Linked DNA regions of Saccharomyces cerevisiae S288C. The gene in region 1 interacts genetically with each later gene. Each region holds a gene or a part of one and is shown in the gene's direction. Other genes may lie near its edges.

What was found.
Region 2: mutations in RIM21 (region 1) and ELF1 together harm fitness more than expected from each alone (negative genetic interaction), as found in Saccharomyces cerevisiae (3 studies listed by BioGRID).
Region 3: mutations in RIM21 (region 1) and HDA1 together harm fitness more than expected from each alone (negative genetic interaction), as found in Saccharomyces cerevisiae (3 studies listed by BioGRID, with this or other methods).

What each region holds. Positions count from the first base shown.
Region 1 is NC_001146.8:78,159-82,039, reverse strand, and holds RIM21 (Rim21p), read left to right. Parts: upstream 1-1,779; coding exon 1,780-3,381; downstream 3,382-3,881. Other genes in the region: Rab GTPase-activating protein MSB3, read right to left, coding at 1-1,400; MRX6 (Mrx6p), read right to left, coding at 3,520-3,881. UniProt on the Saccharomyces cerevisiae protein: Required for the proteolytic cleavage of the transcription factor RIM101 in response to alkaline ambient pH. Required for growth at alkaline pH.
Region 2 is NC_001143.9:151,577-154,221, forward strand, and holds ELF1 (Elf1p), read left to right. Parts: upstream 1-1,692; coding exon 1,693-2,130; downstream 2,131-2,645. Other genes in the region: RCN1 (Rcn1p), read right to left, coding at 2,240-2,645. UniProt on the Saccharomyces cerevisiae protein: Transcription elongation factor implicated in the maintenance of proper chromatin structure in actively transcribed regions.
Region 3 is NC_001146.8:591,177-595,862, forward strand, and holds HDA1 (histone deacetylase HDA1), read left to right. Parts: upstream 1-2,050; coding exon 2,051-4,171; downstream 4,172-4,686. Other genes in the region: rRNA (cytosine-C5-)-methyltransferase RCM1, read right to left, coding at 251-1,723; serine/threonine protein kinase ARK1, read right to left, coding at 4,447-4,686. UniProt on the Saccharomyces cerevisiae protein: Responsible for the deacetylation of lysine residues on the N-terminal part of the core histones (H2A, H2B, H3 and H4).

The sequences.
Region 1 (3,881 bases):
ACAGCCAACGAAACTTTGAATAGAAAATGTGATTCCTCGTAAAACAGACAATCCCATATTCTAAGCGTGGTCTCTATCGGCACTACACCGACAAAGCAACTCATGAACCAGCTCGCCGTGCACAAAGTAATGGGCGGAAGTCTGTACAAGAACTCATTCTTTTGCATATTGAATAAAACTTTTTTATTTGACGGAGAAAAAGTTTTGTTATTTTTTTGGTGGTGGTCAATGGAAGGCTTAATGTACGACCAAACTTCTGGAATATATTCTTTGACACATAGCATCAGTACCCCTTGGTCGATGTTAACACCTTCTAGATTGATATTATGCACCCCCGGTAGGTATCTTGAAGTAATAATCACTAGCATCCAAAAGGCCCTTTCCTCGTCTAAAAATAACAATAGCAAGCCTGCAAGAAAGTTCATAGATTGACAATAGCCAATCTTCGGATTGTAGAGAGAGAACGCAACAAGCACCCGGCGTAAAGATTTTATAATCGGAGGTCCCTCTTTGTTATGCAAGCTACTTTGGAAATGTATATTGTCCGGAAATGTTCTATTCAAGTCACGTTCAATAATATCCAAGTCTTGAACTTGTTTTTCATTAGGGTTTTGTTTCTTGATCTGCTTCATCTTTCGTAAAAGTTGTGAATAGACGCCTTTATTCTTGTTTAACTTCTCTTGCCCTCTAGCGAAATGCCACCATGCATTTCCTCTCCATTCCGCTGGAATGCCCTTTCTGACATACCTTTTTAACCGTTCACTCTTTGATGGAAATCGTGAAGGAGAATCATCGGTCACTGGCAACCCACTTTTCTCCAACAGCAATTGCCATTTGTGCTTACGGCGAACGCAGTACTGCGAATATTCTACCCACCACTTATCGTATTCTGCTTCAGATATGTAATTATTCTGTTTTTTGAAACCGTATCGATCAAAATGGGTATTGTTGATTCCATTGGAATTCGCACTTGTGGCACTAGCGGCACCCTCCAATTCTACACGCTGACGGTTGTCATCATCAGGAACCAAATCGAGGTCATCACTGTGCACTTCCTCCAGATCTTCGTTACCATTATCGCCATTATTATCATCATCATCCTCTCCTTCGGCACGTTGGGATTCCACTTCGTCTCCATACAGGTCAATAACGCTTAAATTCCCATCATGTTCAGAGGGGGATGCTTGGCCCAAACAACTTGGTTCCACAGAGCGATGATCATTCGCTCTAAAGCTTCCGTTCACCAGAGCTGAGTCGCTAGAACTATGATCTGAATGCATTTTATCATGAAAGTTAGGAACAGACGGTGATTTCACCGTAAATGCCCCTCCTAGCCTTTTGTATGGATGCGCCAGTACCGTCCTATTTTGCAGGGAGAACCTCTGTTGATCGTTCTGCATGCTAATTACAATGGTTCTGGGTGCGCAACTCTTTGACTCCTACAAAGCTTCTAGATGTCCCTTTAGCTATTTTTAGCTACTTTCTTTCTACGTGACATAAACGAGGTTTGATCCTGTTAATTCTGATACTGCCCGAACAGAAAAATAGCAGCTATTGAAAGAGAAGATGGAACCCGTTGTATCGGCGAGTAAAGATAAGTACTTTAGAAGAGCAACCCACATCGTTTAGTTACAAGAAAGACAAAAGACTGGTACTACAGATTCGGTGTCCTTTACCTGTTTTCTTCTTTCCTGTGCGCACTTAATCAGTCATTTTAGACTATCGTTTTTAGTAGCACATAAGGAGGAAGACACTCGATGAATAGTCGATTCTGCAAACATGAACTTGTGGAGACATAGTCCAGAAGAATTGGCTGCTTACAATAGCTGTCATCCAATGAAGCTAGGTTCAGGGGTGCTGATACAATTGCCTCTTTATGACAATTCGGCAGTATATGCAGAAGATATTACTTTTAGGAGTTTCTGCTGTGAAAGAGTGCCCGTTTATGTATCTACGGTGCTAAGAAACTCTTCCCCATATAGGTATCTTGATGAGGTGATCAATGACTGGCAAAAATTCATTCAAGTAAGCGATTATGTCGGCGGTTCTGCTGAGTATGCGATTTATGCTGTGATTTTGTCGATAACTTCTAATTTTGTCATCACAGTGTTCCTGACTGTGATATGCTGTATAAATATCAGCGGGCGCGCATATAAGAGAATTCTACAACTACTGAGGATAGCCTCGTTGTTAGCCTCGTTGAACTTAACGATTTTTATCACGAAGGTGTTGCGGAGATTGGAAAAAGAGCACAATGTCTATGGTGTCGTTCGGGCTCATTCCATTATGCACATCTTTTCCGATGATATGACATTTGTTGTCTTGGATTTCTTGGCTACTTTAATGTTCCAATTTTGCCAAGTCGGCATTGTCATTAGGCTATTTCAAAGAGCTCAGGAAAAGAGAATAATTTTTTTTATTGGGGTGATATTAACAATAACCGCAAATATTTTATGGGTAATTCCACCGTTTGCTAACCATACTACAAAACACAGAAATGACTGGCAGATTCTGCGGCCATTTGTTTACCTTTTCCGTATTGCCATCGCCACGTCATATGCATCAATCGTCATTTATCACATCTGGCAGAAAAAAAAATTGTGGTTTAAATTCAATCAAATGGGTTTACTTACGCTATTGACTATTCTTGTGGTGCTTCTATTACCGGGTTTCTTCCTTGCCGATGTGTCGAACTTATGGATATCGGAACTGGGTGAAGTGTTTAACACGACATGCTATGTCACTTCGACCGTGATCACATGGGAGTGGCTGGATAGATTAAATGTTTTGGAAAGAAAAGAGGAAGCGCAAAGCATTTTGGGAAGACCTATCTTCGAGGAAGAGCAACAAGACTATCGGTTTGCCAAGTACGCCTTAAGGGTTCAAAACGCTTTAACCAGGAGGGAATCTCAGGACGCATCAACGGATCGGCACGATACGTCAAGTAATTCGGAAGTATGTGATTTACAGACCATATCACGCTACGACCCAGAAGATCAGATATCAGTGGGCAGAAGCATTGATCGAATGCATTTCAATGATAGGGGAACTTATAAAGATGTAGCGCTGAAGAAATTAGGCTATGCGCGTGATAAAATTTTATACTTTACAGACCAAATCGTCCAGAAAAGCGTAGGCCACAATAATAGCAGCAGCTCGAAAAATGAAAAAACCAAACAGAGAAAGGCCATGGTCAGGAAACGGTTGGGATTAGACAAACCAGGCATATACATTTATTCGACAAAGGATGTCGTTTTCAATTCAGATGAAGATGACGATGAGAACGCGGAAGATGAAGATGACGATGAATATGAAGTTGGCAGTGAAGGCAATAACAATAGCTCTGCCACTTTTACCAGCGACCATATAGGCCATATTTGAAGGACACAGCAGAAACAGTATTACAACAAACCTACATATTTATATATTCCATGCATGCTCAAGATGCATATGCATAATATTTACACGAATTGCGAATATGTCACATAATAGAGCAGTGGATAAGTACTCAATGCAAAATCACTCATAGTAGTCCCATTCTTCAAATGCAGTTTCCAATAATTGTGTATTCAAATTAGTGGGATACCTCGTATACCTCACGCCGCTCCTAGTAACAACATACTTGTCATTGAAGCTGACTTGAACGTCCTTATGTATAGTCCTCCCCCAAAAGGTATTGTGCCTCTTGGTGTATCTTAACCAATGCATTCTCTTGAAATTATGAATCGGACTTGGTTGAATAATACAATCTACGCCATCTTGGAAAAAATATGTGGATGGTACTTCATCTGATAACCGCACTATGATTTTTTCAATATACGCCTTGATTTTGTTTTCAAATTTCTTAGAGTCTCTGGAATTTGTTAAAGTTGACAATATCG
Region 2 (2,645 bases), on another chromosome or scaffold:
TTCAATGTTATACTTAAACATCACAGCAGGAGATTGAGATGATTGAAAGAATGGTGCAAGAAATGATTCATTAACATTCTTCCAAGTTTTGCAATATTTGCAAGTATTACTATCAGACTTTAGTTGAAGTGACTATGCTATTACCAAATTTCACTGGAGCCAGAAAAATAAAGATCACTTAGAGACAAAGAAAAGTAACATCTTCAACATAAGCCGGAGCTCAAAAGTAGGAAATCGGATAAGAAACTTGATTCTGTTATTTCAAGTGATTTTTTGCTGTATCGCCCACGTTCTTGTTGTAGATGTTTTGTAGATGTGGGACCGAAAGTAAGTGAACAGTGAAGTAAACAGAATAGGATTCTAAAAAAGAGCTTATAAACTGTTCTTTAAAATTTTTTCTTTCGTGAATGTCCTCGAGCTATCTCAAAGAAAACGAAATCTTCATTCAACTTAAGTGTAGGTATTATTTGCTGTTTCATCAAATGCGGCACCAAAGTGGAAGTATTCTAGTCAGTTAGTTTTTCATTGTGAGGAATTGATATGTCGTTCTCTGATAGAACCACGCTAAGTTGGTGTTCAATTTTTTGCAATTCGGTAGTAATTATGCCTTGCAACATGTTTTATTCTTTTATAGTGTGATACCGTCAATATGATGATTTGCGGTGGAGCATGCATGTGCTTACTAGAAGTGCTGCTCTGGTGGGCATTTTAGGGACAAGAATAAATTCTTCTCTCCACTATCTGAACTTCCGTTATTCTTCTGCACGTAATTGCCGTTTTTAGGATTTTTTGGAGTTGTCACGGTATAGATATGTCTTATTGCGTGATTTCACGGTGTCTTGCACACAACATTTCCAGGTCACAATATTTGGTTCGAGGTTCCCAGCAAGAATTCATTATCCTTTTCAATGTGTCGCATTAAATCATTATCCAAAAACAAAAGAACTTAAGAAGTACAAAAGACACTTGAAGTATGCTAGCGTAAGAAATACGGTAACCAATATTTATATGTAACATGCTTATTCTGTCATGATTTCACAGTTCAAACTACATTCCTATTCAAAATCATCGCGTTAGTGAGACAAAATCGGTGGGAGAGATGTTAGACAAAAAGATGACAACATTGGAAATAAACCACGACGAAAAATACCTTTGAAAGGATCTTTTTTCGATTTTCCTGTGAATTTGTAGGCTTTTGATGGTACGAGGGTAAACCAAACTGGACGGGAAATCACCATTATTAGTCCTATGTAGAGCCTCGTCACCATACCTATATAAACATAACTATTCTTTTAAGTACTTAAACGGCTTTTTTCTGAAACAAATAGCCAATGTTTTCATAACGAAGATTCCAAAGTTACTTAACGCTCTTCAGGCACTTCCTTATTTATTATGACACGTACAAAATAATAAATTCGTAGTTATAAGATTATCTTATCATATTTAAAATATCTCTTCTTTCAGTTGAAATTGGGCCCAAAATTTTTACCCCATAGCGTTAAAATTAAACAAAAACTGCTATTTCGGTGACAAATTGTAAAAATTCTGAAAACGGAAGAAACAAAAACGTTTAAAATGATTAAACTTTGGTAAAGCAATAATCTACAAATAATTGGAAAAGGAATAGTAATAAAGATGGGGAGAATTATGAAGAAGAATGTCATAAAAAACACTGAAAACAATTAACGAGCCATGGGTAAAAGAAAGAAGTCAACAAGAAAGCCTACCAAGAGACTGGTCCAAAAATTAGATACGAAATTCAATTGTTTATTTTGTAATCATGAAAAATCAGTTTCATGCACTCTGGACAAAAAAAATAGTATAGGAACTTTATCGTGCAAGATTTGTGGGCAGTCGTTCCAAACGCGCATAAATTCATTATCACAGCCTGTTGATGTATATAGTGATTGGTTTGACGCCGTCGAAGAAGTCAATTCTGGCCGTGGAAGTGACACAGATGATGGTGACGAAGGTTCTGATAGTGATTACGAAAGTGATTCAGAGCAAGATGCTAAAACGCAAAATGATGGCGAAATAGATTCTGATGAAGAGGAGGTAGACTCGGACGAGGAGAGGATAGGCCAAGTTAAAAGAGGCAGAGGCGCCTTGGTAGATAGTGACGATGAATAATCCGGTCCTGAGAAAAAACCATATTTACTTAGGTCATATATATTTTATATTTTAAAGCAACCACCCGTAAGCATTTAAGTCTCTTAAGCCAACAAATCGCCTCGCCATCTTAATCATCGTCATCAGTATCGAATATAGATTTTGGTGGGAAAGCGGTTTTAACGTGGTCCGCTAATTGCATCTGTCCATTTCCATCGTTCGTGGGACATCTATCAATGGTAATTGCGCCCACCTTTGATTTCAATAACGTGAAAGTACCATTGTTATTTTTGTCTGGATTATTAGGCAATAGTTGGCTAGCTTCCAACCGCTGCTGCTGGTCCTGTTGTATATGACTTTGTATATGCCTTTGTGGCGCATCCTCACATTTGCTGAAATCGAATTCGGGAGGTGGTGATGCTGGGGGCGATATCAGGAACATTTTTTCACTCTCTGGTACCTTCAAGTATTGTTTAGTTAAATTCCTTTGTCCGTCTTGCAAGGAGTAGCTGAAGTTAAAATTTTCCATTTCTAAA
Region 3 (4,686 bases), 510 kb from region 1:
TGCAAATAGATTAGAGCAGTCTCGTCTCACGCTGTTTCACTTGGTTGTTGCCACTGTCGCAAGAAAGAACTTTTATATTTACGACCTTTTCACAGAGCTCATCGATAATTTTTATAATAGTATATTACCCGAAAATCTTCCTTTATGTGCGGGATGTATAGATTATTGAAATGTCTTTTCCGTAGTACTACAGCAAAAATGCAATAATACATATCAGATATACACATATATACATGAATGTTCTGAAAGTTTAATCTCTTTCAAAACAGACAGCAAAGAAACCAATACCACCGTCACTTTTTGGTAGTGCCCTGATACAACCCTCGGCAAGCTGTTGAGGGTCATAGGTGACTCCATCTCTAAAAACCTCTTCGAACTCTTCTACCTTGCCTCTTCTAGGCCAAGAAGGAATAACTTCTCTTTTTGGCGCTACTTTCCAACCCCATTCTCTAACTGACTTATCTAAAAGAAGGTCTATGACGACTCGTTCATTTTCTTCCGCATGAATGGAACATGTGCTGTATACTATTTTTTTAGCCGCTGGGAAACTCATTGCATGCTTTACCATCTGGAACTGAAATGAACTCAGCTTCGCTAACCTTGTCTGTAGTTCTTCCTTTGCTATAAACTCCTCTTGCTCATCCGGCACAATGCCACCATCGTCATCTTTATCATCAATTTTCCTTCTATTAAATGAGTCAAAAAACTTACGACCAAATATACCGCTACCGGAGCAGCTCGGATCTACAATAAAACAAGTAACGTCCTTATATTTTTCAGGAGTAGCGAGCTTTGTAAAATCACCTACATTGACACTGATGTTGGGAGAACAGCCAGCTATCTTGATCATTTTTTGTAAAACTTTTGCTCTTTCAGGATCCTTCTCGAAAGCGTATATTCGAGTATTATTGTCCTTCGGTGGTTCGGGATATATATAAGAGGCCGTATGGGTAGTCTTATTACCTGGAGCAGAGCAGGAATCTATCACAATATCACTTGGTCCTGGATTCAAAATGTGGGCTGGAAAACAAGAAGCACGATCTTGAATGATAATCTTCCCATGCTTATAAAGCTCATGTGCTGTAATTTTGTCAGACGGATGAATTCCAAACAAGTTTGGAATAAACTCATCATAATAGATAGACCCAGGAACTAGTTCAGACCATTTGTCTACCTTTAAAGTAAACTTCTTCCTCAATTCGGCTAACACCGGCTCAGTCTCACCATTTGGATGGCATTTTAATGGATTGATTCTAATCCATCTAACAGGAGGAAGGTCATTGGAAATATCCTCGCTTAATACCAACTCAGATAGCTCTCTTACTTTCAATTTGAGTTTCAATTTGACCATTTCGCTATGCAATGGGCTCTTAAACTTCAAAACATAATCTTTGATGGGGTGTTTGCCCATTTGAATTCTTTTCTGCTTAGACAACAGCAAATCATGGCAAAGCAATAACAAAGTTAGCCTTGAAAAGAGTGGTTTGCCCTTTTTCTTGGGTATATCTTCCAATATGTGTGCCTTTTTCATCACTTTCTCCAAATATGGTTTATATTTCCAACACGAATCGAGAACTGCATAAATATGTTTTGGATTACTTTTCAGCTTATATCTTTTACAGCTTTTCAGTACCAGCGTCTGCATAGAGCCGGAAATCCTTTCTTTTGCAGCCTCCTTCTCAATATCTTCTAGCACCCATGTTGCATCCCTGTAGAAATTCATGCTTTTTCGTAGCTAACTTCTCAGTGAAACACTTGGTGAAGAACCAGCTCTTCTCTTAACCTCATCGAATATTTTAGGCCAGTTTTTTTTTTCCTCACTTGCCATTTTCCCGCACCGTTTGGAAATCTCGAGGAAAATGCTTCTTTCCAAAAGTTTAATCAGGTCACTAATTAGGTAAATAGAGCTGGGAGGAAGCATATACAGTGTTTCGTCTGTGGAAGGAACTTTTATTTTTCTTAAATGTTTTAATTTTTAGTGACCTAATTCACATAACAAAATATTGAGAAAGGGAAAGTTGAGCACTGTAATACGCCGAACAGATTAAGCATGGATTCTGTAATGGTTAAGAAAGAAGTACTGGAAAATCCAGACCATGATTTAAAAAGAAAGCTAGAAGAGAACAAAGAAGAAGAGAATAGCCTCTCTACTACTTCTAAAAGTAAAAGGCAGGTTATTGTTCCCGTTTGCATGCCAAAAATCCATTATTCACCGCTGAAAACTGGTCTTTGCTATGACGTTAGAATGAGGTATCATGCAAAGATTTTCACATCGTACTTCGAGTACATTGATCCACATCCAGAGGACCCAAGAAGAATATATCGTATTTATAAAATACTAGCAGAGAATGGTCTGATTAACGACCCCACTTTAAGCGGCGTGGATGACCTTGGTGATTTAATGCTGAAGATACCTGTAAGAGCCGCAACCTCCGAAGAAATCTTGGAAGTTCATACAAAGGAACATTTAGAGTTTATTGAAAGCACAGAAAAAATGAGCCGAGAAGAGTTATTAAAAGAGACTGAAAAAGGTGATTCCGTATATTTCAATAATGATTCTTACGCGAGTGCTAGGCTGCCTTGTGGTGGCGCCATTGAAGCATGCAAGGCGGTTGTCGAGGGGCGTGTAAAAAACTCTCTAGCTGTCGTAAGACCACCTGGCCATCATGCAGAGCCTCAAGCTGCGGGTGGTTTTTGTCTCTTCAGTAATGTTGCTGTTGCTGCCAAGAATATCTTAAAGAACTACCCAGAAAGTGTAAGAAGGATAATGATTTTAGATTGGGATATTCATCATGGTAATGGCACACAAAAGTCATTCTATCAAGACGATCAGGTGCTATATGTGTCATTACACAGATTTGAAATGGGTAAATACTATCCTGGGACCATCCAAGGACAATATGATCAAACTGGTGAGGGTAAGGGTGAAGGATTCAATTGTAATATTACTTGGCCGGTCGGCGGTGTTGGTGATGCAGAATATATGTGGGCATTTGAACAGGTAGTTATGCCTATGGGGAGAGAATTCAAGCCTGACTTGGTGATTATTTCTTCAGGGTTTGATGCCGCGGATGGTGATACTATCGGACAATGTCATGTCACCCCAAGTTGTTATGGACACATGACACATATGTTAAAATCTCTAGCTAGAGGTAATCTTTGTGTAGTTTTGGAAGGTGGATATAACTTGGATGCGATTGCAAGAAGCGCTTTGAGTGTAGCAAAAGTACTAATAGGGGAGCCTCCTGATGAACTACCTGATCCATTAAGTGATCCCAAGCCTGAGGTCATAGAAATGATAGACAAAGTAATTCGGTTACAGTCCAAGTATTGGAACTGTTTTAGAAGGAGACATGCTAACTCCGGTTGTAATTTTAACGAACCTATTAACGACTCGATAATATCTAAAAATTTTCCTCTGCAGAAGGCTATTCGTCAACAACAGCAACACTATTTAAGCGACGAATTTAATTTCGTTACTTTACCGTTAGTAAGCATGGATTTACCAGATAATACAGTGCTATGTACTCCAAACATTTCCGAATCTAACACTATAATTATAGTCGTTCATGATACTTCTGATATCTGGGCAAAGAGAAATGTTATTTCAGGTACAATTGACTTATCCTCATCAGTTATCATTGATAATTCTCTAGACTTTATCAAATGGGGACTTGACAGGAAATACGGCATCATTGATGTAAATATACCTCTAACTCTGTTTGAACCTGACAATTACTCAGGAATGATTACATCCCAAGAAGTTCTAATATATTTATGGGATAACTACATCAAGTATTTTCCTTCTGTTGCCAAAATTGCTTTTATTGGAATAGGAGACTCATACTCAGGTATCGTACATCTGCTTGGTCACAGGGATACTAGGGCTGTTACTAAAACGGTAATTAATTTCTTGGGAGACAAGCAGTTAAAGCCACTAGTTCCTCTAGTAGATGAAACATTGAGTGAATGGTACTTCAAAAACTCACTTATATTTTCAAACAATAGCCACCAATGCTGGAAAGAAAATGAAAGCAGAAAACCAAGAAAAAAATTCGGTAGAGTTTTGAGATGTGATACGGACGGGTTAAACAATATAATTGAAGAAAGATTTGAAGAGGCTACAGACTTTATACTGGATTCGTTTGAAGAATGGAGTGATGAAGAATGAGGAAAAACTGGCCATTAATAATTTTTTTTCGGCAACCTTCATGCCTTATGAAAGTTGAATAATAATAAAGTTGTTACAATGTTCATTGTATAATCCAATATATCTAAAATAGGAAAAAGAAATGAACAAATGCATTAAGCTGTGTTTTACTAAGTATTATGGGAAAACGTATACATTAAAGTGGATGCTTACATATATAACACATTGTAATAAAGGTTCTTTGAACATGTTACCAGCCTCTTCAGAGATCGATCCGGTTCTGTTGAGCCAAATACTCACTTATCCAAGGATAACTTTCGTCCCGCGAGGAGCAGTGGTTTTGGAGGAGGTTTAGGCTTTAAATGTGAAGGCTTAGGTGGTGGGGTAGGTTTTGTTTTTTTGTCTTTTGAAATCGGGCCACTTGATTTCAGCATTGTTGGCTTATCTATCTCCCCTTTCTCATGCAGCTTGACCTTGGACATTTTCCTAGCGTTGAATGACTCCTCAGAAGAGTTGAGTTTATCGATCATACGCTG